7 linked regions of the Ovis aries genome follow. The protein of the gene in region 1 interacts with the protein of each later gene in a pairwise test. Links are inferred from orthologs where the notes say so. Each region holds a gene or a part of one and is shown in the gene's direction. Other genes may lie near its edges.

What was found.
Region 2: the proteins of MEOX2 (region 1) and SYT17 interact in binary tests that used the Homo sapiens proteins (3 or more experiments, as listed by UniProt). The two-hybrid records come from large-scale screens. The link is inferred for Ovis aries from reciprocal best matches to the Homo sapiens genes MEOX2 and SYT17.
Region 3: the proteins of MEOX2 (region 1) and CNTNAP2 interact in binary tests that used the Homo sapiens proteins (3 or more experiments, as listed by UniProt). The link is inferred for Ovis aries from reciprocal best matches to the Homo sapiens genes MEOX2 and CNTNAP2.
Region 4: the proteins of MEOX2 (region 1) and CCNC interact in binary tests that used the Homo sapiens proteins (3 or more experiments, as listed by UniProt). The two-hybrid records come from large-scale screens. The link is inferred for Ovis aries from reciprocal best matches to the Homo sapiens genes MEOX2 and CCNC.
Region 5: the proteins of MEOX2 (region 1) and CIB3 interact in binary tests that used the Homo sapiens proteins (3 or more experiments, as listed by UniProt). The two-hybrid records come from large-scale screens. The link is inferred for Ovis aries from reciprocal best matches to the Homo sapiens genes MEOX2 and CIB3.
Region 6: the proteins of MEOX2 (region 1) and OIT3 interact in binary tests that used the Homo sapiens proteins (3 or more experiments, as listed by UniProt). The two-hybrid records come from large-scale screens. The link is inferred for Ovis aries from reciprocal best matches to the Homo sapiens genes MEOX2 and OIT3.
Region 7: the proteins of MEOX2 (region 1) and FUCA2 interact in binary tests that used the Homo sapiens proteins (3 or more experiments, as listed by UniProt). The two-hybrid records come from large-scale screens. The link is inferred for Ovis aries from reciprocal best matches to the Homo sapiens genes MEOX2 and FUCA2.

The regions. Positions count from the first base shown.
Region 1 is NC_056057.1:25,058,841-25,063,568, reverse strand, and holds the start of MEOX2 (homeobox protein MOX-2), read left to right. Parts: upstream 1-1,757; 5' UTR 1,758-2,037; coding exon 2,038-2,551; intron 2,552-4,728. UniProt on the Homo sapiens protein: Mesodermal transcription factor that plays a key role in somitogenesis and somitogenesis and limb muscle differentiation. Required during limb development for normal appendicular muscle formation and for the normal regulation of myogenic genes.
Region 2 is NC_056077.1:17,267,305-17,271,248, reverse strand, and holds part of SYT17 (synaptotagmin-17), read left to right. Parts: intron 1-1,116; coding exon 1,117-1,265; intron 1,266-3,944. UniProt on the Homo sapiens protein: Plays a role in dendrite formation by melanocytes.
Region 3 is NC_056057.1:112,873,394-112,877,337, forward strand, and holds part of CNTNAP2 (contactin-associated protein-like 2), read left to right. Parts: intron 1-2,980; coding exon 2,981-3,180; 3' UTR 3,181-3,944. UniProt on the Homo sapiens protein: Required for gap junction formation. Required, with CNTNAP1, for radial and longitudinal organization of myelinated axons.
Region 4 is NC_056061.1:37,538,864-37,542,807, forward strand, and holds part of CCNC (cyclin-C), read left to right. Parts: intron 1-721; coding exon 722-828; intron 829-1,637; coding exon 1,638-1,722; intron 1,723-1,910; coding exon 1,911-1,980; intron 1,981-3,944. UniProt on the Homo sapiens protein: Component of the Mediator complex, a coactivator involved in regulated gene transcription of nearly all RNA polymerase II-dependent genes.
Region 5 is NC_056058.1:6,625,225-6,629,790, forward strand, and holds the start of CIB3 (calcium and integrin-binding family member 3), read left to right. Parts: upstream 1-1,441; coding exon 1,442-1,492; intron 1,493-1,736; coding exon 1,737-1,771; intron 1,772-3,672; coding exon 3,673-3,784; intron 3,785-4,566. UniProt on the Homo sapiens protein: Acts a an auxiliary subunit of the sensory mechanoelectrical transduction (MET) channel in hair cells. Plays a role in regulating hair cell MET channel localization and function.
Region 6 is NC_056078.1:28,185,159-28,188,359, forward strand, and holds the end of OIT3 (oncoprotein-induced transcript 3 protein), read left to right. Parts: intron 1-240; coding exon 241-340; intron 341-1,782; coding exon 1,783-1,956; 3' UTR 1,957-2,584; downstream 2,585-3,201.
Region 7 is NC_056061.1:68,140,652-68,144,595, reverse strand, and holds part of FUCA2 (plasma alpha-L-fucosidase), read left to right. Parts: intron 1-2,770; coding exon 2,771-2,958; intron 2,959-3,944. UniProt on the Homo sapiens protein: Alpha-L-fucosidase is responsible for hydrolyzing the alpha-1,6-linked fucose joined to the reducing-end N-acetylglucosamine of the carbohydrate moieties of glycoproteins.

The DNA.
Region 1 (4,728 bases):
AACAAAAGTTTTAACCTTTTTTTTTTTTTTTTTTTAACGAAGTCTGCAAAACTAATTTCCCTCAAAATAGGGCTCAATTTCCGTTAAAGAAAGCAGCGCTAACAAATCTCAGAATTCCTGATCACTCCCACCCCATCTCACCTCTGAGCATTGGAAAACAATTCGAACTTTCACACGGATATAAAGGTTTATTGCAAAGCCACTATTCTCCAGGATACTTGAAAGAAAAAGGAGATGGTCAGGCTGAAGCCTGAGGGACAGGACTAGGGAAAAAGTTCTACCCTGGTGACATTTCTCAAAGATTAATCAATACATTTTCCTAATTCAAACCAGATGCCTGGCCCAGTTTGCTGTCCCCAATAATCCCATTAACAACTTCCAAGACCTGACCCCCTGTCCTCTGGACACCTGAGACAATGAAAGTAAGACGGCGACGCTCCTGGTGGCAAATTTGGGGTCCCGGGAGGGATAGGTGAGCGCCGATATTCTCCTGATGCGACAAGTCCTAGGCAAGGCTCAACTGTTCCCGCAGCTCATTATGCTCGGCCAGCGTGCGTGCCTTGTGTAAACGACTTGGCCCCTAGCAGACAGTGTCGCCCTTTAAGCATGTGGTAGTATGAAAGCCCAGCCGTCGCTCGCATTAATTCACTGGTGGCAAGTTTTCTAAGTCATTTTCTAGGATGCAAAATTGTAACCAGGGAGATCCGAACTTTAAGCGATACCAAAGTGTAATATTTGTTTGGTAAATGGAACCATGGCGGCGTGGGAGTGAAAGGGGTGCAATGAGCTGATTGATTTTTTTGAGCGGAAGAGAGATGGATTTCTGGAGGGAAACGAGGTGACAGGGGGCTGGCTCCTGAGGGAGAGTACTGGAAATGTACATTCAATATACACATCGCTTGTGACTAGGGTGAAATCGCTTTAGAATACTCCTGATCCAGGAAAAGTTTTTCTGGGCGGACAAGTGGCAAGGAAATGGAAGTGGGACCCGGAAATCGAGAGCGGTGTGGGGGAGGACATTTGAGGAAAGCAGGGGAAGAGACCCCACCTGGGACCGCAGGTGAGGATGCCAGAAGCAGAGCGTCTGCGACCGTCACGGCCCCATGCTTTCTTCCACCCTATCAAGTCTCGTTCCTTGCGGCCCTTTCTCGCCCGTGGGGAACTTTTCCTGCATCCTCGAATCTGGCGTCTCAGCGCTCTAACAACCCACCCACAGACACCAGCTGTATAAAAAAGCTAGAAACGCCACTGAGCCCATGACACGAGTTGATGCGAATTTGGAAAACCTTAATCTGAGTGCGCGCCAAACTAGCTCTGATTCTTTTCCTTATCCTCCACCTTTCGTGCTTCTCCACATTTAGGCACACCCTGTTTTTCTGCAGGTGACAGTGCCCAAGTGGCATTGACAAGACACCTTTCAGGAGAGAAGTGAGCAGGTGGGACACTGGCTGTGGGGTTGGAGCTGGCGGGCGCCACGGCGCGCCCCGGCCGGCGGAGCGGGAAGGGCAGCCGCTGCCCGCCGGGGCTCTGGTTTAGGCGCCCGGCTTGCCGCTTGCAGTCCAGGCTGTTGGCAGCGGCGGGAGGGCGTGGACGCGCTGCATGCGTCCAGCCGGCGATAGGAAGTGGAACTGGGAGCGCATTGCGCGAACTGAGCGGGAGTTTTGGAGGGAGTTTGCATGTGGTCAGCACTGGGCTCCTAAGCCAGCCCCCAGCTCACATTACACTCTATTTATAACCTCTCAGAGCCGTTTCCCCCTGAAAGCAGTTCTCTGGGACCACCTTCTTTTGGCTTCAACCTCTCCTGCTCTTGACATCTGAGTAGCTCAGAGGGAAGCTTCTCGAGGTCCGAGTGTTTATATGTAAAGGAGACTGGCCGCTAGGGCTCAGGACCAGGATTATCCGAGCTCTGACGAAACGCGGGCGGCTATTGCTTTGGGAGGGGGAAAAGTCACACGGTTTCCAGTGAAAAGTGACAGAGGGTGGTGGCGTTTGGAACCGTCGTGAAGTCTTCTGCCTGGAACCCGAGACTTGCATGCTATGGAACACCCGCTCTTTGGCTGCCTGCGCAGCCCTCACGCCACCGCGCAAGGCTTGCACCCGTTCTCCCAATCCTCTCTCGCCCTCCATGGAAGATCTGACCACATGTCCTACCCCGAGCTCTCCACTTCTTCCTCGTCTTGCATAATCGCGGGATACCCCAACGAGGAGGGCATGTTTGCCAGCCAGCATCACAGGGGGCACCACCACCACCACCACCATCACCACCACCACCACCAGCAGCAGCAGCACCAAGCTCTGCAAACCAACTGGCACCTCCCGCAGATGTCCTCCCCGCCGAGCGCGGCTCGGCACAGCCTCTGCCTCCAGCCGGACTCGGGAGGGCCCCCGGAGCTGGGGAGCAGCCCGCCGGTCCTGTGTTCCAACTCTTCCAGCTTGGGCTCCAGCACCCCGACCGGGGCCGCGTGCCCGCCAGGGGACTACGGCCGCCAGGCGCTGTCACCCGCGGAGGCGGAGAAGAGAAGTGGCAGCAAGAGGAAAAGCGATAGCTCAGGTAAGGGCGCGCCGGGCACCCTCGGCGAAAGGGGGCGGGGAGATGGGAAGATTCTCCTACTAGAGTGAGGCGGCGGGCGTTATGGGACAGGTCTTTTCCTCTCTGGCTCCTCGCCGCCAAATTCGGCGAGGCTGCTTTGGTCCTTTTATTTGGGGGCACGTGTTTCTCCGAGGGCAGCACTGCAGCCAAGTGCGTTAAGCTCTCCAAGATTCAAACTAGTTTACCAGAGGGTTGAGAAAAAAAGGACAAGTGACAAGTATGTGAAATCGATTGCGAAGCGTGACCTTCCATCTGAGCGATGGGGAGAGGAATGCACCCTGGGATGCAGCGTCCGCTGGGCGTGCGTGCGGGTGCCTTTCCTTGACTTTTCCCGACTCTGAATGGCTCGATTTTTCCCATCGTTAACTGGATTTCCAAATTATTGCACAACATTTGGAACTTGCAGTGGAACTTGGCAGAGCACATGAGAAAAAGTTTTAGTTTAGTTTTTTTTTTTTTAATTCTGATTTCAGAGTTCTTTAAATAGCACCCTATTCCAAATGGTAAAATTTCTCTTTCTTGGGGGAAGAAGATATTGTCTAGGAATTCAGAGGATTTTAAGGAATGTGTCAGAGAATGGCAACTAAATATACGCTCAGACCCTTGACGAAAGACGATTCTTTATTGTAGTTGTATTCATGTAATGCTAACCAAAAAGAAAATCTGAGTTTCAAAAGTGGAAAGTAAAATCCTCCTCCAGTTGAGTACTATCCGAAACAAGGATTGGGAAACTTAACAGCAACCAGGGTAGCGCTGCTACAAGTGGGTGTGCGTAGGAGGCGCTGATCTACGCGAGGATATCTTGAACCGCGTAGCGAAAGGGGAATCTTAACCAAACGCGAATGCTTGAAGGCACCCGCAGCCAACTAAACTTTAGCAATCCAGAGAAACTAAAGCTTTGCAGTCAACTGTCAAAGCCCTTACCTGTCTCTGTCCTAAAGAAATTGTTAAAAGATGCTTTATAAGGAGGGTATGAGCTTTCTTCAGTAGCTACGACGCAACCTGCGTCCCATCTTTTTGCAAGCTGTTGTTTATTTAATATAATATTTACGTATTTTCTTTCTTTGCGGCATTGGTTTTAAGAGCCCTGGAAGATAATTCCAGGTACTGATTTGAAAGACTGGATAATGTCTATCCTTTATAATAATTTAGATTAGATTTCACATGAATGACAGTGATTGAGCCGCATATTTCATGTTCTTTTTCAGCAGTGGTATCAATTATTCTTCAGTGAGTACGGAATGGGTTCTTCTATCTCAAACTTAGAATCTCACGTTTACATTCCAACGTCAGGGTGAACTTCTAATGCTCCATCACAAAATAGTTGATATCCAAAAAGGTTGCCAGCAGTATCATTCATTTTTAATGGTTTTTACTAACCCTAAGTGAGACACTCTTCAGACAGAGTGAAAAAGTTAATATAGCAAGAAGGCTTCCATCTTCATTAGAAAACAAGTCATTTTTAGAATGCAGTCATCCTTTTATAGGATCAGCATTTGATATCAATGTAACTTTTCTGGGATTAGATCTGAGTACAGGTTAGCCAGGGACGCTTTTGCAATTTACCAGAGGCTCTTACTATTCCTTGTACTTTCTGCAGTGAGAAACCTATATCATGGATTGTTTCATATGCTTCTTCAACTGAACAAACGCACCTAAGTTTCTTAGGACAAGCTGAATTTTCATATAGGCCTATGTTACTTTGATCAAGGAGAAATCAAGAAAGTGAGATCCAAGAACTGACTCCCTTCAGTTATTTTAATAGTGACTTTCTTAAGAAAATTGGTTATATTAATACTGCTACCGTCCTTTGGTGGGAAATAACCATATAACAAAATAAGTTTATCTTTTCATGTTGAAGTTAGTCATTAAAGTCCTGGAAAAACAAAAGTTTTCATCAGATACATAAAATATTAATAGATTACATCTTGAATGGGAAATACAGTTAATCATCACCAAGGGTAGAATCATTGGGAAGTTAGAATGAATTTTTTCTTTGATGGGATATTTTGAAACAACTCTTCACTGTCTAAAAGGAAATATATTTTTAATTTCTTGTTGAATATATGTACAATCTTTGAAAATAAAGTTCAAATTGCCAGATTTACTATTTTAGATAATATTTGTTGTATTCTTTA
Region 2 (3,944 bases), on another chromosome or scaffold:
TGGCCCCTTTGCCAGCTCTCTCCCCTCCCCTTACCCCCACTCCCAGCATCCTCACTAGCTGTGTGAGTACTGGGGGATCTTAAAGCCGCCTCTGCTATGATATTGCTAACATCAGCTAAAATGTATTAAGCATCTACCTAGAACATACCAAACACTGTTCTAATCATTGTATATATGTTAGCTCGACCTTCAAAGTAACCATGTAAGGCAGGTGCTATTATTAGTCCCATTTTACAGACAGGGAGATGGAGGGAGAGAGAGAGACTTGCCTTGAGCCAGCCCTTAAGTACTACTTTGTACCCCAACCCACAAAGAGTGTACTTTCTATTTTTCCAGCATTTCTAATCTTTATTAGGAGAACATTAAGTTGTGGATGCTGCTATTGACTGGTGTTTCTATGCACTGAACTGTTGTTCTTAAATCATTGATTCTCAGGGCCATTTTGTAGCTCAGAGTCTTAGCTGCTGGACCACCAGGAAAGTCCCAAGAACCTTTGAGTGACATCGTTACAGGATATTTTTTCAAGATGTTATTGACATAGTGACTATTGAAATAACAAGATAATTCTTACCGAAAACTACTTGCAGAAGTTCTAATGCATTTAAACAGCCACGTGGTTCCTTCCAGACTGAAGACTGAGAGGTCCCATCTTGATGGCATCACCAACTCAATGGACATGAGTTTGAGTGAATTCCAGGAGTTGGTAATGGACAGGGAGGCCTGGTGTGCTGCAGTCCATGGGGTTGCAAAGAGTCAGACATGACTGAGCGACTGAACTGAACTGATCTTGGTTTAGTCAGGTGGTGCCCATGTGGCAATATCTTGAATAAGTTTACATATCCCTTCCCCAGCCCAGCCTCAGCTTTGAAATTATGCAAATTCTTGGCAGATTGTTCTAATTGGGAAATAGTTATTTACTTCACATCACATTTTGTGCAAAAAGCAAGACATTATTAAGAATTAAGGGCTATTGAGAATTTATTTCAAATTTGCATTATTCCAAGTTGCATAGACTGGGCCTGAGAGCAATTTCATCCTTGGTCTGTCCCCCATGGGACAGAGGTGCCAGTCCCTGGGGATTCTCTGACAGTCCCTGAGACCTCTTCCCTCCTACAGGTTGGCCAGCCGGAGCAGTGACAAGGACGGGGACTCTGTGCACACAGCCAGTGACGTCCCACTGACCCCACGGACCAACTCCCCAGATCGGAGATGCTCATCCTCAGACACATCTAAGTCTACATACAGCCTGACCCGGAGGATTTCAAGTAAGCCTCTCTGCTCTGACTGTCAGGGGTCCTGGCTCAAGTCAGCTGCCCCTTGGGGTCCATGAAGTACAACCCTGTTATCTGGGCCCCCAGGATAAAGGGAAAGAGCTGGCGTTCCCAGATGCTCAACAACACCCCCAGGGGGAGACATGAAGGACAGGGTTGCTTCTGGTGGGGGTGTGGAGTGTGGCGTGACAGTCCAGGAGACAGGATGATGGAGAGGTGACAGTGTGACAGAGGAGGGCATTGTACCTGATTTCTGCCAAGTTCAGGCAGAAGCAATCATTTTGATTGATTTTTGTTTATACTGATCACAGGTTTCATTGAATTGGCTCAGTTGGTAACGTTGTCAGCATATATCATTTCAGACCCCGAAAGGCAAGTGTTAGTTACCATGTTGCACAGCAGGGCCTGCAGATTCAAGTGACTTGAAGGCCCAGGTGGATTGTGTCAGTGGCTAAGTGCCAAGGGCTGGAGGGAGATAAATATCACCCTAGTGAGTGACAAATGGCAGCCGACTCTTGACCTGGCACTAGGGCAGGGTGGGGACTGGGGCCAGTTGGGAAGCCAGTGTCTTATTGAAGGGGAGCAGCTGCTACTCAGCTGTAGCCATGTGGGATTGTATTACCTGACCTTTCTAAAGAGAAACTGGCAGTCTGGGTTTTCATATGAAACTTCCTTACTTTTCAACCCAAACAGAATGTATCTCTGGGTTGAATATGGCCCTTGGCCCACTCTAGAGTGGGCACTCAGCACACACACACTCTGTAGCCTGGGTGTAGACCAGAGGGTGTGATTTGGGTGGGGAAGAGAAAGGGTGATAAAAAGCCCAGAGTCTCCCAGCCTCTTGTTACTAGCCAAGTGTGTCTCCTCTGTCTCATGCAGCTGATGTCTGAAATTCACTTAACAGAGGGAAAAGGCTTAAATTCATGAAACTAATCCACTCAGCTGGAAATGATTGAGATCTCTGATCTTTTCTGGGAGTGGATGGGGAAGAAGAAAGAAGTAAATTTCAAGAGCTTGAAATAGTGAAACAGAATGGGTGTCTGGCTTCTGTATCCTCCATCTTTTCATCTGTAGAATAAGAGGGCCTGTCTGCCCTGTGCAGCCCGCTGTCCAATACAGTGTCCACAGGCATGTAGCTGAATTGAGATGCACTGTATGTGTTACATACCCACTGGATTTTGAAGCCAGTATGAAAAAAGAGAGAATTTAGAATGTCTCACTAAAATGTTTTTATATTGATTACATGTTGAAATGATTGTATTTTGGATATATTGGTTTAAATAAAATATAAAAATTTCACCTGCTTCTTTGTACTTTTACATAATTGTGGCTACAAGAAAATTTTAAGTTACCTTTGTGGGCTTCGACGGACATGAGTTTGAGCATGCTTCGGGAGTTGATGATGGACAGGGAAGCCTGGCATGCTGCAGGCCACGGGGTCACAAAGAGTCGGACATGACTGAGTGACTGAACTGAACTGTGGCCTTGTATGTCTGTATCTGGTTCACGTTTTATTTTCTCTTGGATAGCGCTGGTCTAGATAATTCCTAAATCTTACTTCCAGCTCTATATAGAGATGACCGCGTTTAGCACACAGTTATCAGGGTGCAACCATGCACTGGCAAGGGCTCATGGTTTTAGACAACAGGCAGGTATTTGGGCAATCAACAAGATGCCACGAAAGAACAAATACTATGTAATTTTCCCAACAACAGGAATCTCATAGTCAGATTTCCAAGCATCTGCAGAGTAGGACATGGTTACCCAGGGAGCTTGAACCAGGCAGGTGTTGGTTTCACTTATACCAGATGAGTAAGTTCTAGAAATCCACTCCAGCAGAGTGTGTAAAATTAGCAGTACTATGTGGAGTACCTAAACATTTGCTAAGAGAGTAGATCTTATGCTCTTAACAGACACACAAAAGTAAGTAAATAAAGAAGGCAGGAGGAAGCTTTTGAAAGTGATGGATAGTTTATGGCATAGATTGTGGTGATGGATTCGTGGGTGCATACTTATCAAAGCCATCAAGTTGTGTAGATTGAATACCGACAACTTTGTGTGTGTCAGTCATACCTCAATTCAGTGCTTTGAAAGAGAAAAAAGTACCATGAGGTTATTGCTAGAATAGAGAGATGAGCAAAGAAGGCAACAATGAACCTGGGAGCGGTGAACTCTTCTGCTTAATGGGGAGGGGAGAGGCACCCCGAAAGTGACGAGCTGTGAATGTGAGCCTTGAAGGTGAATAACAGTTACCATTCAGTGCCTCTCAGCACATGCACGTTCTGTGCTGGGCTCTCTCCACGCATCGCTCAGTGAGTTTTCACCACCATCTTTGATGTGGCTGCTATGATTGGCTCCATGTTACAGATGGGAAAACCGAGTGTGTAAAATGTGCCTGGAGTCACTTGGCTCGTTACTAGAGAGTCACGTGGTTCACGAGGAAGTAGCTGGGTTGGAATTTGACCCAGACACTGGCCCCAGAGCCAACTCCGTGAAATCGGAGGCTGGGAATGGTTAGAGTCGGACCCTGGGGCCAGATAGGTGGGGCTTGGATCCTGGCTCCTCCTCCTACCAGTGGGGTGCCCTTTGGTGAGTTACTTAGAGTTTCTGTTTCCTCTTCTGTAAAGCGAAGGTCATCAGTTCAGTTCAGTTCAGTCGCTCAGTCGTGTCCGA
Region 3 (3,944 bases), about 88 Mb from region 1:
GTTTTTGAGAATCTGTTGACATTGTTGTATTACCAACGGTCTATTTATTTTTACTGCCAAGTTGTATTCCTTTGTATGAATGAAGGAGAGTTTGCTTTACCTACTCCCCTGCTGATAGATGTTTGGTTTGTTTCCAGGCTTGGGCTGTTTGGACAAAAGCTGCTATGAATATTCTTGTCCAAGTTCGGGCCTTTGTAAACAAAAGTTTTAGTTTCTCTGGTAATTCCTAGGAGTATAATTGCTGGGTTATTGTAGATATTTAACTTTACAGGAAATTGCCATATAGTTTTCCAAAATGGTTGAACCATTTTATGCTTCCATAAGCAATATCTGAGAGGTCAAATTGCTTCACAATCTTGCCAACACTTGGTACTGTCACTCTTTGTAGCCATCTCGTTGATGAGTGGTGGTAACTCACTGCGCCCTGTTTGTTTTTAACAGTCTCTTTCTGTTTATAGTATCTTTTTGGTTTTAATTTTATTTATTTATGGCTGTGCTGGGTCTTCTTGCTGCACAGGCTTTTCTCTAGTTGCAGTGGGGGTGGGGGGCTACTCTCTAGCTGCAGTGCACAGGTTTCTCATTGTGGCAGCTTATCTCGTTGTAGAACACAGGCTCTAGGGGCCCCAGGCTTCAGCAGTTGTGGCACGTGGGCTCAGTAGTTGTAGCCCCCAGGCTCTAGAGCACAGGCTCAGTGGTCGTGGCACACGGGCCTAGTTGCTCCACAGCAAAAGGGATCTTCCTGGCCTAGGGATCAAACCTGTGTCTCTTGCATTGGCAAGTGGATTCTCCACCACTGAGCCGCCAGGAAAGCCCCCTCACTGAGGTTTTAATGTGCAACTATATGATGACTTAATGAGCATCTTTTTCCATGCTTACCACTGTTTGCAAATCTTTTGTGAAGTGTCTATTTAAATCTTTCTCCTCTTTTAATTGGATTGTTTGACTTCTTTCTACTAAATTGTAAGAGTTCTTCTTGCATTCTCATTGTTTCATTTTTTTAGTGGTATTTTTTGAAAAGCAGATTTTAATTTTTCTAAAGTCCAACTTTCTAACCTTTTTACAGTTTGTGATATTTTTTAATCCTTTCTAAAAATCTGCCAACCCCAAGGTTGTAAAGATTTTCTCCTGTTTTCTCCCAGAAGTTTTATAGCTTTTGTTATTAATTATTCAGTCTATAATCACTTTGAGGGGCTTCCCTGGTGGCTCAGATGGTAAAGAATCTGCCTGCAATGTGGGAGACCCAGGTTTGATCCCTGGGTTGGGAAGATCACCTGGAAAAGGAAATGGCAACCCACTCCAGTATTCTTGCCTGGAGAATCCCCATGGACAGAGGAGCCTGGTGGCCTAGAGCCTGTGGGGTCACAAATAGTTGGACACAGCTGAGCGGCTAACACATACACATAGTCACTTTGAGTTAATACCTGTATATAGTATGAGATAAAAGTCAAAAATCATCATTTGCCAAACAAATATCTAGTTATTCTGAGATCATTTGTTGAAAAGAGTATTTTTTTCCAAGTTAATTTCCATGTTAGTTTTGTCAAAAATCAATTGTCTATATATTTGTATGTCTTTTTTTCTGGACTCTTTTGTTTTGTTGATTTATATATCTTTCTTTGACCAATATTACTCTTACTTTATTATTGTATCTTTAAAGTAAGTCTTGAAATAAGCAATATAAGTTCTACAATCATTTTTTTTTTAACTATTCTGACTGTTCTGGGTCCTTTGCATTGCCATATAAAATTTAGAATCAGCTTATACATTTCTACAAAAAAATTGCTATTATTTTAATTGAATTGCATTAAATCTATGAATGAACAGCTTAACAATATTGACATTGAAATATGGTATATGCATCCATTTATTTAGGTCTTTAGTTTTTCTCAGCAAGGTTTTATGATTTTCAGTGTACAGTCTTGAACAGCTATGTTCAGTTCATTCTATTATAAGTGGCACTATTTTATTACTTTCATTTCCAAGTATTTCTTTCTTTTTTTTTTCTTTTTTTTCCCAAGTATTTCTTGCTAATATATAAAAATATAAATTTCCCCTTGCTAAATTTACTGTGAGTTCCAGCAACATTTTTTTGTCTATTCTTTAGTATTTTCTACATAGACAATCCTGTCATCTGAGAATAGAGTTCTCCTTCTCAATCAGTACACTTTTTGTTTCTTTTTATTTTATTCAACTGTCTAGAACTTTTAGTACAGTCATGAGTTAAGGGGATGAGAGTTGACACTCTTGCATTTTTCCATATTTCAGGAGGAATGTGTTTAATCTTTCACTATTAAGTGCAATATTAGCTGCAGATTTCTCAAAGATGCCCTTTTTCAAGGTTGAAAGTTTCTATTGATAGTTTCCTGAGAGGCTTCATGATAAATGGGTGTTGAAATTTCTCACATTTCTTTTTTAGTCATGTGCATTTATTGATAAAGGTTTTTAAATTACATTCCTTTATTTTTAAATGTTAACTCAACCATTACATTCCTAGAATTAACACCATTTTTGTTATAATCTGTTCCCCTTTACATATTGCTGGGTTTGATTTGCTACCATTTTATTTAGGAGAGACACTGCTCCCTCATTTTCTTGTCGTGTGTTTGTCTGGTAATGGTGTCAGGATAATTCTGGCCTCCTAAAACGAGTTGAGTGGTATATCCGGCTCCTCTAAGACAGACGTGTAGGGCTAGTGTTACTTCCTTAGGTCAAGCTCGTTAACTGTTTTTGAGGTCTTCTGAAGGCTTCCTGGTTTTCTGTTTCGTCGTCCTGTCAACCCCTGGGAGGAAAGTGTTGACATCTCCAGATGTAACTGTGGAGGCCGGCCTCCTTCCCCGCCCGGTGCTGCTGGTGGCGTTGTCGGGAGTTCCGTGTTTCCTGAAGGAGAGGCTCCTGGAGGGAGCCGTGCTGAAGAGGCGCGGGGTGCTGGCGGGCTCCTCGGCCGCGTCTAACCTCTCGCCCCTCTGTCTGTGTCCCCCAGGGGTCATCGCCGTGGTGATCTTCACCATCCTCTGCACCTTGGTCTTCCTCATTCGCTACATGTTCCGTCACAAGGGCACCTACCACACCAACGAGGCGAAGGGCGCGGAGTCGGCCGAGAGCGCCGACGCCGCCATCATGAACAACGACCCCAACTTCACAGAGACCATCGACGAGAGCAAAAAGGAATGGCTCATCTGAGCGGCGGCTCTTTGGCTCCGGGAAGTGGGGGGCGAGGGAGGGGGGAGCGTGGGCAGGGAGGAGGGCGCGGGACGGAAGCACCCGACTTCAGACCCCTGAGCACACCCTTCAGATATCAGCACAAGCCGGGGGAGGCAAGCGACGGCAAACTCCTGGAGACTGATGGCCACAAAAAAAAAAAAAAAAAAACTTTTTGATATTTCTTTATAGCTGAGTTTCCCCTTCTGTATCAAAACAAAAATAATACAAAAACTGCTTTTAGAGTTGAAGCGATGGTCAACATTTGTAGGTACTATCTGTCGAATATTTTGTGTGTGTTTAGAGAGGTGTTCTGAAAACCCACAGGAACAGGGCCCGTTTTCTACGATTTTCAGCGCCCTTAGAACGTGGATATTTTTCCTGGAGAAAAGTTGATGCACATGTACACGGCCTCCCGCGTTTTCCTCTTTTTACATAGAGTCAGCCTCTAATGGGCTGTGGTAGTAACTAGTTCGTGTTCATAAGATATTTCTCTGGTGTCCTGTGAATTGGAAAAGGAAAGGAAAGGACAGAGGGAAGCTGTGATTTAGCAGTTTTCAGAGAGACCTCAGTGTGTGCCGGTTCTCTGAGAGTTCCCACTGGAGGCAGAGGGGTGCGGTCCCTCCTGTGCAAGGACCATCAGTACAACCCAGAGAAGCTCTCAGACCCAGGGGAAGCAGCCCCCTGTTGGATCGCTGGTTTTACTTTGGATCAGATTCTGCTCGATTGCACCGCTCCACGTCTGT
Region 4 (3,944 bases), on another chromosome or scaffold:
ATTCCATATATTAATCAAATATACAAGGGTGCATTACAGATGTTCCTTAGAGCATTACTTGTAATAGTGGAAAAAATAACTTACATGCCTATCAATAAGGATTAACTAAATAATGATCCATCATCATGACATGCAACAGTTTAAAGGGATGCTGAATAACAAATTCACTGACATAAAACTTTGAGGACATAGTGAGTAACAAAAGCATGTTGTAGAGTATTTTGTGGGATCATGTCAATTGCCTGTCTATTTAAAAATAGACTAGGCAGGAGGAGGAAAATATTAGTAAAATAAATTCTGAAGCAATAACATGAATGGAATTTGTGAAGTGGGATACTCTAGTTAGTCATGAACAACTGAAAAAAGATGTACTTCAAATCTTAGGCACCATCGGATAGTTTCTTTGTCACTAAGAAAGTGTAACTATTACTGCCTATTAAAATGCTAGGCAAGAATAGTGACGAGGTGGGGGTGGGGAGAGACAGATCAGTAGACTGAGAAGGAGGGGATAAAAGAGCAGATTTTTTTTAGGGCATATTTACATTTATTAGTGAGATCATTCTCAGTGTCAGTGTTCCAAGAAATGTGAAAAATACTGTTTTTAAAGGTTACTTGTATTCTGTACTTCTCACAATATTAGCAGCCTGTTCAATCTTAGAATATTTTATATAACTTTGTTAGTGAATTTTCTATGAAATGTCTGAATCTTTGCCTTTTTTAGTTTACAATGGATTTTGGATAAACAAGATCTGTTGAAGGAACGCCAAAAAGATTTAAAGTTTCTCTCGGAAGAAGAGTATTGGAAATTACAGATATTTTTTACAAATGGTAAACTTCCCTTTTAATTGGTTGAAATGGTGTGGTTGGTTACCTCTGAATTAAATGTTTTTCTGTAGTAATTTGTGATGTACTGTTTTAGTCCCTATTTTACATTTTTATTTGCATGTATCTTCTTTTTTACAATTTATATATCATTTTAAAAGTAAAGTCTTTTGTGAATCTTACATGTCAGAGACCCTCAAGACAGTCCAAAAGTATTAATTTCCCAAAGCTTTTATAATGCATCATTAAACTTAATTTAAGACTGGCTAAAGCAGAGTACTTTGAGGATAAATGATTATTTGGATTGGCATCCCTTATTGGTTGTTCCTGTCTTACAAGTATGCTTTAGGATTTAGTGTTAGAAGGTCCTTGTTCTGCCACACGATGGCTTTGTCACAGAGTCTTTATTACTCTCTGTCCACTCTTATTGCAAAACTACCTCTCTGTTGTTTTGAGGGTTCATTTTGGGTTTTTTATCAGCTTTATTAAGTAATTGTTATAATGCTGATAAGTGTCTAATGATATCAAAAGCATTAAAAACACTTAGCAGGTAGAAGGGAAATAATCATTCAATCTCCTTGATTCAAGAATAGTTTTTACTGTGAGATAATTTCTGTTTGTTATTGTTTATGTGTAGCTATATATTTTTAAAGAAATTTGCAGCCCTAGTAGTAGACCACTGTGATCCAAGTAGAGCTGTACAGCATGTATAGGTTTTTCTCTTTGTTAAAATGAATATAGTCATCATTTAACAAGTAAATTATTGTTAAATGTTAATTATATCAGAAATACATTTAACTTTATTTCTCTTTTAGTTATCCAAGCATTAGGTGAACATCTTAAATTAAGACAACAAGTTATTGCCACTGCTACGGTCTATTTCAAGAGATTCTATGCAAGGTAGGGATGTGTTATTTTGGAAATATTTTATGTATATTTTAAATCCTTATCTAATGTTGATGACCTTATATAAGTGAATTATGTGTTTGCCAGAGTTATTTTTTCCCATATAAATATTTTCTATATGAAATGTTTTCATGTATGTTTTCTGTATGAATGACATTTACCTTCATTTAATCATATTTTAGGTATTCTCTGAAAAGTATAGATCCTGTATTAATGGCTCCTACATGTGTGTTTTTGGCATCCAAAGTAGAGGTATGAAATACTTTTCTGTTCTTCATCAAAGTACAGTCAACGTATATTGGTTAATCTATTCCAGTTTTCACATTACCTGTGTAAAAATAATAACAGATGGTGACTTATATAAAATACTGAAATTTGTACGGGATCAAAGAAATATCTTCTGCCTCTAAGACATTTATTGTTTGGCACTAAGGCGCATTGCATACATGCTATAGCTTGTCTGCTGTAAGCTGAGAACGTTCTTCCTTTTCCTCTGCCTGCGTCCTGAGTTCTGCTGTTTTCCCTTCTTGCCTCCTGATTGGCTGCCTAGTGGGTTGTGGGGAAAGCAGGCATTGGGGTGGTTATAGGTATTATATGCTTTCTAACGAAGAATGGTTTGGGTGAGGGAAAGAGAAAGATCAGAACTTTCAGCTAAGACCAAATCTCTGTTCACCTTACTTAGCCTTTACAGTATTTTTGAGAGAGTTCAGCTAAAATCCAGATAACAAGGCAGATATAATTAACTGGTTTTTATAATAATCCATTGTAATCTTTAGTAATATGAATCCTTTATATTATATTTTTATTTTTAGATGCTGTGTTTAGAATAGTAATTGTATTTCTGAATACTGAATGGAATTTAATTGTAAGTGGTAATTTAAGGAGGTAGAACCAACTCTGTTTCTAAGTTCTTTAATGGAAAAGAAGGTGTTTATAAAAGGCCTGTGTTATGGGGTGGCTTTTCCAAATATTACCATGTAATGGAATGTATCTGAAGGACAACCAGTGTGGGAAACTAAGACAGAAATCTTTATAAACTTCGTGTAGATTAACTAGAGTTTTAATTTGTCTTCTTTGTTAGATATCTTTTGTTACATGATTTACTGAATAGAACTCTTATAATAATTTACTAAGTGAAAGTTTTTGCCTGAAGAATTTTGGGTAGAATTATCCTGGAAGATGATGTATTCTTTCATATTTGGTTATAGCATTAAAAAAAATCTTTTAACTTTGACCAAATCTTTCTATGTTTTGTCCAGTTGTGTGAGAACTGTATTGAAATGTCATTTAAGAAATGTCTCAGGCATTTAAATTTCAGTTTCATTTATTACGGCTTGAAGTTTATATGAAACATATACTACAGGCATACATGGGTTCAAACACAATTAGATAAGGATGTAGGTTGAAGGTTTTTGGACAGGCTCTCATAGTTAGTTTCTTTTTTTGACTAAGGAACCAATTCTTGATTTTTCAGTTTTAAAATGAAGCTTTGGGGAAATCGCTGGTGGTCCAGTGGTTTGGACTCCATACTGTCACTTCCGAGGGCCTGGGTTGGATCCCTGGTCAGGGAACTAAGATCCCGCAGGCTGTACTGTGCAGCCAGAAAAAAAAAAAAAGAATACAGCCTTTTAACTTTATAAGGTTAGCTACAAATTAATTAAGACTATGTAAGGTAGATCACCTCATAAACCTTTTAGTTATTTTTACAGCAGGGGTATATTAAGTTCAGAGAATAAATAGGAACTAGTGTCCAAAGTCTTAAGGCCATACCATGGAAAGGAATTTGAGTCCAGAAAACTGGCACTGTCACTTTAGGGCTTGGTTTCTACTTTGGTGGTAGTGGTGGTTTAGTAGCTAAGTCCTGTCTGCCTCTTGTGATCCTATGGACTGTAGCCTGTCAGGCTCCTCTGTCCGTGGGATTCTCCAGGCAAGAATTCCTGGAGTGGGTTGCCATTTCCTTCTACAAGGGATCTTCCCAACCCAGGAATCGAACCCAGGTCTCCTGCATTGCAGGCAGATGATTTACCAACTGAGCTATTTACTTTGGTACCTTCCAATAATAATAAATTATAAAATTATTTAAGCATTTGTGTTTAAAGTAATTTTAAAGAAAGGTCATGAATTTAGATGTTTAAGTACATCATTCCTTTGCAGACATCGGAGAAACATAGGAAATACTCTGTTTTAATAGACTTCAGATATACTTAGGTTCATTG
Region 5 (4,566 bases), on another chromosome or scaffold:
ACATTGGCAGCTGCTACGTTGTACAGTAAGTTCTATACATATGAACCTTCAAGTTACAAACTCAAAGATGTGGACACGCATCTGGCTCCAGCAAGGAATCAGAATCGGTGCCATCGATGTCAGACGGGAGTGAGATTGCAGCTTGCCCTCCATCTCCTATTGCTGATAGTCCTCCAGCTTCACCACATCTCACCTCCTCTCCCTCCTCCAGTCGGCTACTCTTCCTGACTGTTCATTTGATGCCAGCCCCTGTATGCCAGCTATTGTACTGTACTACTGTACTTTTCAAGGTACTGTGCTGTAGGACTTGAAATGTTGTATCTTGTGTGTTTGCTTTTTATGTGCAATTTGTGTGAAAAGTATTATTACTGTATGAATAGTACAAAAAGCCAATTGTATTAGTTGAGTGCTTCGACGAACTTTGTTGGACTTAATGAATGAATTGGACTTAAGAACGTGCTCTTGGAATGAAATTCATTCAATATGTAGGGGAAATTACTGAATTTACCCCTTGAGAATACATGGTGCACATTAACATATTAAAGGGTCTGACAAGTCCGGCAATAAAGAACTATGGTGTTAATTTAACCCAAACTTAGACATTAGATTGCTTTTCTCAAGCCATAACATGCTCATCATCATCTCCAATGCACACCTCGTCTAGCTTGTTCACTATCATGGGTCTAGAACTGGCTTAAATTCAATGGTTACAAATATTTTTTTGTTGGTTGGGGAAGTTGAGCGAATGATCTCATTAGATCTTCAGAGCAACTCTATGTTATTGTTGTTTTGTCACTAAATCTTGTCCGAATCTTTGCGACCCCATGGGTTGTAGCCCACCAGACTCCTCTGTTCATGGGATTTCCCAGACAAGAATACTGGATTGGGTTGCCACTTCCATCTCCAGGGGATCTTTCCGACCCAGGGATTGAAACCAAGTCTCCTGCTTTGGCAGGCAGATTCTTTACTACTCTATGCGGTAGGTACTAATATAATTTCCATCTTACAAACAAGGCTCAGAGAGGCCAGGTGACCCGCCTAAGACCACACAGTTAGTGGGTAAAGAGCTGGAATTTGGCCTGAAGTGTGCTGGCAGCCTCTCCCCCACCCTGCCTGTTTCTCAAAGATGCCCCACACCCCCAGTCTCACTGGTGATGGCAAGTGTGGGCTCCCCACTGAGGGCTGCCCTGGGACCTCCCTAAGCCCTTCTCCTTGCCCTGATGGCTGTGGACATATACTCAGGCCGTTGCCCAGAGAGCTTGGCTGTAACTTGAGTCTCACCCAGGCTGGGGGTGATGAGGAGGGTGGGCAGGTGACAGCCAGGGCAGGGAGATTTGCCCAGACACTGGTGAACGGCGGCCTGGCAACCAGGGTGGCCCTGAGGGGATCGGGGCGGGGGGCTTCGGGAGCCTGTTCAAGAGTCCAGGCAGAGGTCTCCACTATGGGCAACAAGCAAACAGTCTTCACTCACGAGCAACTGGAAGCTTATCAGGTAGGGATGATGGACCAAGCCATCGGTGGGTTTGGCAGCCTGGTTGTTTTCTTGGCTGAAGAAATGGGGACAGCATCCCTTCATCCTGGTGGGGTGGGGGTGCAGTCAGCAAGAGGTCTTGGGGTGGCTCTGTGTGTGGATTCAGGCAGCAATGGGTTGTGGGAGAGGAAGGAGGCGCCCCCCCCCCCCCCCCCCCGCCAGGCATCAGGCAGGGTCTGGGTTAAGCCAACATCTCTCTCCACAGGACTGCACCTTCTTCACGAGAAAGGAAATCATGAGGTCAGTCTGAGGAGGAAGGGAAGAAGAGCTGGGCACTTTATATGCTTTGCAGTTAATGGGGGAATCGTGTGCTCAGTTGGTGGATGCATGCAGAGATGGGAAGGCTGCTGAGAAGTCCCATCTGGTCCTATTGCCACATCTCTAGGCTGACAGGCTTGGGCTTTCTCCGAAAGGTGGCAGGGAGCCATAGAGAGTGTGTGAGCAGGGGCGATGTGGATCAAAACTTCCCCCTGAGGCCCAGTGAGAACAGGCTGGGACCCCAGGGGGCAGAGTCTAGAGCCAGCTCTGGGCAATGGGGTTGACATCAAGGTTAGAGGGTGAAGAGGTGGCCCCAGGCTGCTGCAGGTTCCTGGTGTGAGTGAGACAGGCATGGAGGGGTTATCCTACAGCATCACTCAGCCCATGGAACCATTATCCAGATTCCGGACCCATGAACTTTGACCTGTGAAACCCAAGTTGGCTGGGGTTTGACTGCAGAGTGATCAGGGCCAAGGTCCCAATTGTGTGGGTGCAGGACATCCATTATTGATGGGCAGAATTTCCACTAGTAAGCCCCACCGTCTTGGCGAGGACAGTTCACAGGGTCACCCTGACCATCATGATCAGATTACTGATGGGGAAACTGAGGCTCACACAGGGGAGGCTGACCTCAGAGCCCTGGGTAGATGGGTAGGGCCCCAAAGAGTTTGAGGCTAACATTTTGTGCATCTCAAGCTTCTTGCTTCTCACACAGACCTACTGAGCAGAAAGGGGGAAAAGGGGAAGGGGGACTTACTCGAGGCCACATAGAAACCCAAACCCAGACTATTCTCTGAAGGGACCCAGCGGTGAAGTTCCAGATACCCCCCTCTTCCAGTTCCTAGCCATCATATGGCTTCTATCACCTTCTGAGGCATCCCTAACAACTTCAGGATCTCTGGCTCATCAAGGATAGTCTGTACAAGGTGACTGCTCAGCATGTTCCAGTGACGGTACAGTATCACCAGGCAAGGGCATTGGAGTAGACACTTGACCCCACCATCTAGGCAGTGTGTATGGCCTTTGCTGTTTTGCAAAATGCCTTTCATTTACCCCTTGGAGAAACCTGAATATTAGACTTTGTCTCTGGCGCCTTGAGGGAACTACAACCCCCATTATGGAGGCAGAGAGGGAAAGTGTGAGGATGAGGGTCTTGCCAACAGTGTGATGATGTCCAGCAAATCGTAGATTCACTCAGAGTCTCTGAATGCTCAGTGTGAGATGACCTTGCCTTAAGCACTCTCTTTTCTGTCAACCCCATCTGCCTGGTGAGCTCTTATTTGTGCTTCAAAGCCCAGCACCTAGCACCCATGCCCCCTCCTCCAGGAAGTCCTTCCTTCTCCTTGGCTTACTTTCCCCACTCCAGTTTCCCCTAGCTTTGTTTGTTTGTTTGTTTGTTTTAACATTTTAAAAGCAATGAATTGATTTTCTGGCTGCTCTGGGTCTTGGTTGCTGTGGAGGTTCATCCAGTTTTGGTGAGCAGGGGCTACTCTCTAGTTGTGATATGTGCGCTTCTCACTGCGGTGGCTTCTCTTGGGAGCATGGGTTCACAGGTGCGTGGGCTTCAGTGGCTGTGGTGTATGAGCTCAGTAGTTGCCTCATGGCATGTGGGATCTTCCCAGACCAGGGACCAAACCTGTGTCTCCCACACTGGCAGGTGGATTCTTAATCACTGGACCTCCAGGGAAGTCCCTGGGGTCCTGTCTTTACCTTGGCTTTGTCCCTAGGGAGATAAAGGTGTCCCTGTGTGTGAGGGCTGGGCCCAGGGCTGAAGGCTCAGCATCCTTCATTGTAGAGTGAGCATCTGTGAAAGGGAGAGAGTAGAGACAAGCCCACCCTCACTCATCTCCCAGACCTTCTCATTGTTTCCCTCCCCATACCAGGCTCTTCTATCGCTACCAGGACCTGGCCCCTCAGCTTGTCCCTCTCGACTATACTAGCTGCCCTGATGTGAAGGTGCCCTATGAGCTCATTGGCAGCATGCCTGAGCTGAAGGTATGCCCAGGGCCCTGGGGCAGGCATGGGAAAAAATAGAAGGGATGTCCCTTGTTGTATTTCTATGAGGTGACTATTGCAATTATTTCTATTTTACAGGTGAAGAAACTGAATTTCAGATAGGTTGAGACACTTATTTATGATCACACAGCTAGGACATGAGAGAGACAATTCAAACCCTGGGTTGTGGGAAAGATGAGATGAGATAATGCAGGTAAAGGGCTTAGCACAGGGCCTGTGACATGGCAAGTACTTAGGAACATTGCGCTGAGTACGTGCTGAGTCTCTTCAGGCATGTCCATCTCTTTACAACCCTATGGACTGTAAGCCCGCCAGGCTCTTCTGTACATGGGGATTTTCCAGGCAAGAATATTAGAAGTGGGTTGCTGTGTCCTCCTCCAAGGGATCTTCCCAACCCAGGGATTAAACCTGCGTCTCTTATGTCTCCAGCACCGGCAGGCAAGTTCTTTACCACTTGCGCCACCTGGGAAGCCCACTCAGGAACATTAGTTCTTCTTTTTCATAGTAGAAGCCATTAAAGACAGATTCTTCTCAGCAGGATGTTTGACACTGTCTGGAGGGGACTTGTGGGGTGACAGAGAATAGAGATTATTTTATCACAAGGACAGAAGCCTCATTCAAGAGGGACAGAAAGTGCTGTGCTTCAGAATCCCCCTCCATAATTCAGCTTCTCCCAGGACGAGTCTTCAGTCTCAGGCAGCCTGTTCTCTTGAGGTAGTAAAGGGAAACACCAACTGCCCCAGATTTCCTCCCATCAGCTC
Region 6 (3,201 bases), on another chromosome or scaffold:
GCACAGTTTGTGGGTACAGTGAATGAGAGATGGGACAGAGAGCGTTAATGAGCAGAGCTGTGTCTGAGATGCCTTCACAGGGAAGGGACTTCATTTTTCCTTCATTCTCAAAAATCTTGAGTGCAGCCCAACCTCCTCCACCCGGCTTGCCTCTCCTTGGACCAAACACGTTGGACTGGGTTGTTTTTCCACCTCTGTTTAAGAAATCAAGTCTTACGTGCTATCCTGCCCTACTTCCAGCTGTGTTTCAGATGACTCAGTAAAGCAGTACACATCCCGGGATCACCTCGCAAAGCACTTTCAGGCCCCCGTCTTCAAGTTTGTGGGCAAAGACCACAAGGTGAGCTGAACACCTATACCTTACAAAGCTGCCTGCCCTCTCCCTTCATGAACCTGAGCCTTCCTACTGTCCCCATTTGTTCACATTCTAAAGCCTACCATTGGGACCTGTATGACCTTTATGAAAAATACTATAACACTGGGCGTCTAGAATCTTAACACCTCCATGAATGTCAGAATCATCTGCCCCCTCCCAATAAATTAACGAGGCTTGTTCAAAGAAAATATGATGTGATTATAATCCAAAATCCTTGTGAGCAGGTGTGATTGAAAAAGCCTGTGTAGTGGTCACGTGGCAAACTATATGGAGAGAATATTTGCAAAAAAGACAAATAATGAAATGTTCAGTGAAAACAGCATTTCACTGTTTTACATGCCAATTCAAATAATTATAAGACTATTATATACATATGAAACTTTTAAAAATTATAAATCCCAACTTTCAAGGCTCTAGGGAGATGTGTATAGTAGCAATATAAGTTGATATATTTTCTGGAAAGTTGTGTAACAACCTGACAATTAATTAATAATCTGACAATGTGTAATAACCATAAAATTATCAGTCAAAAATTTCAATTCTGACAGCTTCTCAGAAACAAAAATAAAAACATGGTTTGTTGAATGTGCTTATAGAGTACTGTTATGAGAGAGGCATTAAACCAGTGCATCAATTGATTCAATATTAAGCAGTTAATGTACAAAGAAATATAGAAAAAGGAGATATGAAAAAATTCTTGTCACAAAAAATTTAAATGCAAATTGAATATGAAACAGTTTTTTAATGTATATAAGTAAATAGAGGTTATAAGAGGCCATATATTGATATACTGTGTTAAGGTGGAAGGTTTTTTATTTTAGCAGAATTGCTGAAACACTTAAGCAAAGGAAAGTTTGAGGCCAACAGTTTTTTCCATAATGCATCTAAGTGTATTCATGTGCTATCCAGCTTCATCATTGTTTCGAAATAACTGCTAACCATGATGGCTAACCCTGATCTTCCTCTTCAACTGGGCAGCATGCATTGGGAAGTTACTTATAGGAAGAAGCTTGTAGAAAGAACTTGTTACTTTACACAGAAGTGGGTGGGACCCCATGTTATGCCCAGACCTTGATGTGATGAATCAAAATGTTAGTGTTATTAGACGTTGTCCTCACAAAGTTGTCTTTGCACGTGTCCAGGCACGGAGGCATAAGTTGTGGATGTCAGGTTTTAAATCACCCATGTGACTGAGTATGTTTGCCTCATTACTAAATGTGTGGATTTGGACAAGTTCCTTAACCTTCGTAGTTTCCTTATCTGTAAAATGGGGATCACATCTGTCTCAAAGGGTGGTTGTTTAGATGAAATGAGATAAAACATATGAAACATTTGGTAGTGTCTGGCTTCCCCCACCTGGCAGCTGTCTTCACTGTTTTTATTCTTTATCATTGTAATCTTTCCAGGAAGTGTTCCTGCACTGCCGGGTCCTGGTCTGCGGGATGCTCGACGAGCGCTCTCGCTGTGCTCAGGGCTGCCACCGGCGAGTGCGTCGTGAGGCAGTAGAAGGAGAGGATGCCACTGGTCCACAGAGCCAGATGCTGACAGGCGGGCCGATCAGCATCGACTGGGAGGACTAGGACAGCCCATCACCCAAGTCCTCCTGCAGGCAGCCTGTCTCTCTGGAATTCTCCCCTCGCCTTCTGAGAGCATCAGTCCACACTCTAGAGCACCATGCTGCTTTGAACCTGACACTTCGGGGTTAGACAAACCCCCAGAACCGACTCACTCTGACTCCAGCCCACTGGGTCAGGAAAAGTCACCTCACTGCTGACCAGCCTGTTCCAGATGGAACTTCATCCTCCTAATGTGGAAAGCTGTGCCATGCACCCCCAAAACAGCTCACTCCCATGCTCCCTCATTTCTTTCCTGCAATAAAACACCTAGAGTAGGCTACAGTAGCACCACCACTAAAATCAGAAGTTGGGTATATCATTTCAAATTAGGAATTTAAAAAATGAAATAGTGGCTTGAACTTATGACGTAAATACCCACTGACTCCTTAAATATGTAAACAATAATTATACCCCAAAATTTCCATTCAAATACAGAATAGTTATAGGGGATTTGGAAGTTTATCACTGTAAGTATGTACTAAAAATAAACTATTTGGATTTTCTCCTGCATAATATTTTCCTCTGGGGTTTTTATGTTGTCTTAAGTAAACTATTTTCAATTAATAAATGTTAATAAATTCATTAACATGGATTTAAGTGGTTCAGTGACTCAACAGTAGACAAAATTAAAATATGGTAACATATGCCCTGTTATTTTGCATCCTGCGCCCTCAGACTGACAATAGAAAAAGCTATAAAGCTACACCATACTCTATTTTGTAGATGCTTAATACATTTTATCGAAGTAACTATCCTAAACCACAGAGATAAATGTTATCCGCAGTTAAATCCTCTTGCTAAATATGCCAGTTCATTTTATGGCTTTACAGAAGATCAGAAAACAGTTTTTCTACTTTTCTTTTTAGAAAAAGCTGCAACCAACAACTTGTATTGGAACCAGTAACATTAACAAAAGGAAGAAAAAGGAGAAAACAATCTAAATCAGGGGTTGGCAAACTTTTTCTGTAAAGGGCTGAAGGGTAACTAGTTTAGGCTTCCCTGGTCGCACAGGCCCTGCTGCAACTACTCAGCTCGGCTATCCTAGCACAGGAACAGCGGGAACTTTACCCAAACAGGCGCTAAGCCTGATATGGCCCAGGCCTTTGTTTGTCGGTCCCTAACTTCAGTGGTCCTCAGGCCTCACAGTGCATCAGAATCATTGGGGAGTGTTTCTAAAATACCAAGATGTAGGCACCAGCCCCTGGAGAA
Region 7 (3,944 bases), on another chromosome or scaffold:
GGAAACAGAACACATGAATCCTACTGTTAAACATCCCCTGACAGCAAGGTACATAAATTAACAGATTTCTTCATCTTATATTGTGTGTGCTCAGTTGCTCCGTCTTGTCTGACTCTTTGTGACCCCATGGACTGTAGCCCACCAGGCTCCTCTGTTTTCATGGGATTCTCCAGGCAAGAATACTGGAGGGGGTTGCCATGCCCTCCTCTAGGGGATCTTCCCAACCCAGGGATTGAACCCATGTCTCTTATGCCTCCTGCATTGGCAAGCAGATTTTGTTAACTACTAGCACCTTTGTTCAACTGGAAAGATTAGGTAAAGATACATTTGATGCTAGGAGAGGATTTGATGTTTGTTAGTTGAAACTAGTGCTCTGCACAAAACAATTAGTTTTGAGTCATCTTATTCTTTGTAATGGTTAACTTCTCGTTTTCTACAAATGAACACAAAGTTGTTTGTTTTGACCTGGAACAATAAAGATAATTCTCTTATAAAACAGAGTATATTTTTGATGGTCTGGAAGTGCAATAACCCTGTATAAGATTCTTAATTATCTATAGTTTCCCTTTTTATCTCCTCTAAATCTCTGATCTCACTTGATTTGACCTGGGGCAGTCAGCAGCAGAGATGAGTATATTTGACTATCCTTAATGGCAGCTCAAAAACAAATATAAATGGTGGGCTGTTTACTGTAAGTGCTTCTTCTCATCTTCTCTTCTCATGCAATTTGAGAAGTGACTCTAGACTATAATAGAGAATGCAGGTTCAAATTAGATGTGCTAGGAAAAAAATAGAAATCTCTTATCTTTTAACTTTCTGACTCTCCCAGTTTCTCTTTTGCAGTTCCATTTAAAAGATAAAAATGCATCATGGATCAATTAAGATCCTTTCAATTGAAGGTACAGAAAACTCAAATAAAAGGTATAATAATAGGAGCTTATTACTATACATAATAAGAAATTCAGAAGTACTTGGCTCAATGATGAAATCAAAGTCCTGGGCTCTCTGTCATCCTCAGCCTGTTGACTTGTCCTGTCATGGTGACATGATGGTGGCCAGGCATCACGTCACACAGCCTTGTCCAAAGGCAGATTGTATCTCTTTCTACCGGAGAGGAGACCATTCCCAGAATCTCCCAAGCTGGCTTCCCCTCCAGTTCCATTGGCCAGCATGGATCAGGTGTCCATGTGGGAGCTGTGATGGAAGCTGGGAAAGTATGTATCTGACTCTCGGGCAGGTAAAGAAGAGTGCTTGTGACACAGTATGTCCTTCAGCAAAGCCTTCCCAGCAGAAAGAACCTCCTGGCCATCTTTGGAGTGCTGATTATGAATTTGTTCATCCAGTAGACGGAGAAGGCAATGGCACCCCACTCCAGTACTCTTGCCTGGAGAGTCCCATGGACGGAGGAGCCTGGTGGGCTGCAGTCCACGGGGTCGCTAGGAGTTGGACACGACTTAGTGACTTCCCTTTCACTTTTCACTTTCACGCATTGGAGAAGGAGGTGGCAACCCACTCCAGCGTTCTTGCTTGGAGAATCCCAGCGACAGGGGAGCCTGGTGGGCTTCTGTCTATGGGGTTGCACAGAGTTGGAAACAACTGAAGCAACTTAGCAGCAGCAGCAGCATCCAGTAAAAACACTCTTATGAAAGGAGTAGTGAAAGGAAGAATAAAAGATGGGTGAGAGGGGGGACTTGCATCTATTTCATGACCATGGGCTTACTGCCATGTTTATATAAAATGTTTATCTAAAAATTATGCTTTGAGGATTTCCCTGGTGGTCCAATGGTGAAGACTCCGCACTCCCGGTGTAGGGTCCCAGGTTCCATCGCTGGTCAGGGAACTAGATCCCATATGCTGCAAATAAGAGTTCGCATGCCACAACTAAAGATCCTGCATGCTGTGACTAACATCCGGGGCAGCAAAATAAATAAATGAATAGTTTTCTTTTTTAAAGTTGTGTTTTTAATGTTGTTTTCCTTCTGAAGCTCTGCTTAGGCAGTTGAGGCCCCACTGCTCAGAATAAATACACATAACCAGTAATCCTTGAAGACTGAGTCAGTCTATTAAAATAACAGCATTTTCTTAATTTTACTGTCATTTCCTCCCCACTTGTTCCCTGCTAGTGAATATAATACATTTATGTTATATTTTATGCACTTTGTCTTCTTTTGAAGACTTCATCATTTGTGTTACAAAGGACTAATTATGTATACTCCATGTTGCAATCTAAAAGTGAAGAATTAAGAGCAAATGGGTGACTTGTTTGTTTAGACTGCTCTGGTGGATAAGCTGAGTAGAGTTCACAGAGGGATAGATGGAAGACTACGGAAGTTCATGTAAGCTTTCCTTAAGTGAAGTCAGACTAAATGGGGAAATTAGGAAGGGAATCTTAGTAACATCTGAATAAGGGAGAATTTTAGTAAAGGGAGTTATGGTTGACCCCTGAATAGCACAAGTTTGGTCTTCTTTTATGTGTATATTTTTCAATAAATACATAATTGGCCCTCTATATTCAAGGGATTTGCATCTCTGGATTTAACCAACCTCAGACAGAAATTTTCATCTATGTTTGCTTGAATCTGCAGGTGCCCAAACTGCAGATATGGAGGGCAGGCTGTAGTATGCCATTTTATGTAAGGGACTTGAGTGCTCACAGATTTTGGTATCTGCTGAGAAACATGGGACTCATTCTCTGCGAATCCTGAGGGATACCTATATTTCAAGTGTTTATGTGAATGCTACTTATATGCTGTTTCCTTCATCCCCTTAGGTGGTACTGGCAACAGGAAAAGATACCAGCTTATGTGGACTTTATGAAAAATAATTACCCTCCTGATTTCACATATGAAGATTTTGGGCCACTATTTACAGCAAAATTTTTTGATGCGAACCAGTGGGCAGATATTTTACAGGCTTCTGGTGCCAAATACGTTGTCTTAACTTCCAAACATCATGAAGGTAAGTAAGAACAGCATCTGCAGACACTGACAGTGGTTATAAATGTGAAGTAGTTCTTTTGGAAGAAGAAACTAAAGCAAGGTCATCCGCATGAAAACAGTTTTCTCTTAGGAGCAGTCCTAAGTGGCTACTGACATTTGCTTGTAATTTAAGAGATCACATGTTTCACCCAATTAAGAAGCATTAAGAAAAAGAAAAAAAAGGAGCATTAAGTATGCAGAAAGATCATACCCTCCACATATAGAAAAAAATGGAAACTGATCGCATTTTATTATGTGCATATTTAACAATTTCCAAGTAACGCAAGATTTTATTAAAGTCATTTGAAGGGGTATGTGGTTTGCAGGTCAAAGTTTACAACTGAACTGCATTCTTTCCATTTTCTTCTCACCTCTGTGATGCATTCTGGGAAGGTACTCTGGGGATTATTTGCTATTGTCTTACATTATGACCAACATACAAGGTGGTGCTTTTGGCCAACTCTTATATGACCCACTTGAGGAAAGTTTGCTATTGATGAAAATGACACAGGCTACCTGAAAGGAACAGGATTGCAAGGCTGTAATGACGCCCAGAAATATGAGAGATGGTGGAAGAATATCTAAAAAGAAACCGAGTGGTTGAATTAGGGTTCTCCAGAGAAATAGAGCTAACAGGAAGTATAATATGTATAGATTTATCATAAGAAACTGGCTCATGCAACTATGGAGGCTGAGAAGTCCAGACCCAAGACAGCCAGTTATATAGTTCCAGTCTGAGCCCAAAGGCTTCAGGAACAGGAGAGTGGATAATATAAGTACCTGTCCAAATCTAACTTAAAGACTAATGTCTCAGCTCAAAGACATACAGAGAAAACATTTTTTTTTTTAATTAAAAAACAAAAAACACCACTCCTTAAACTTTGCTGCTTTTTCTTTTTCTTTTTGGCTACAATGCCTGGCATACAGGACCTTAGTTCCCTGACCAGGGATTGAACCCATGCCCCT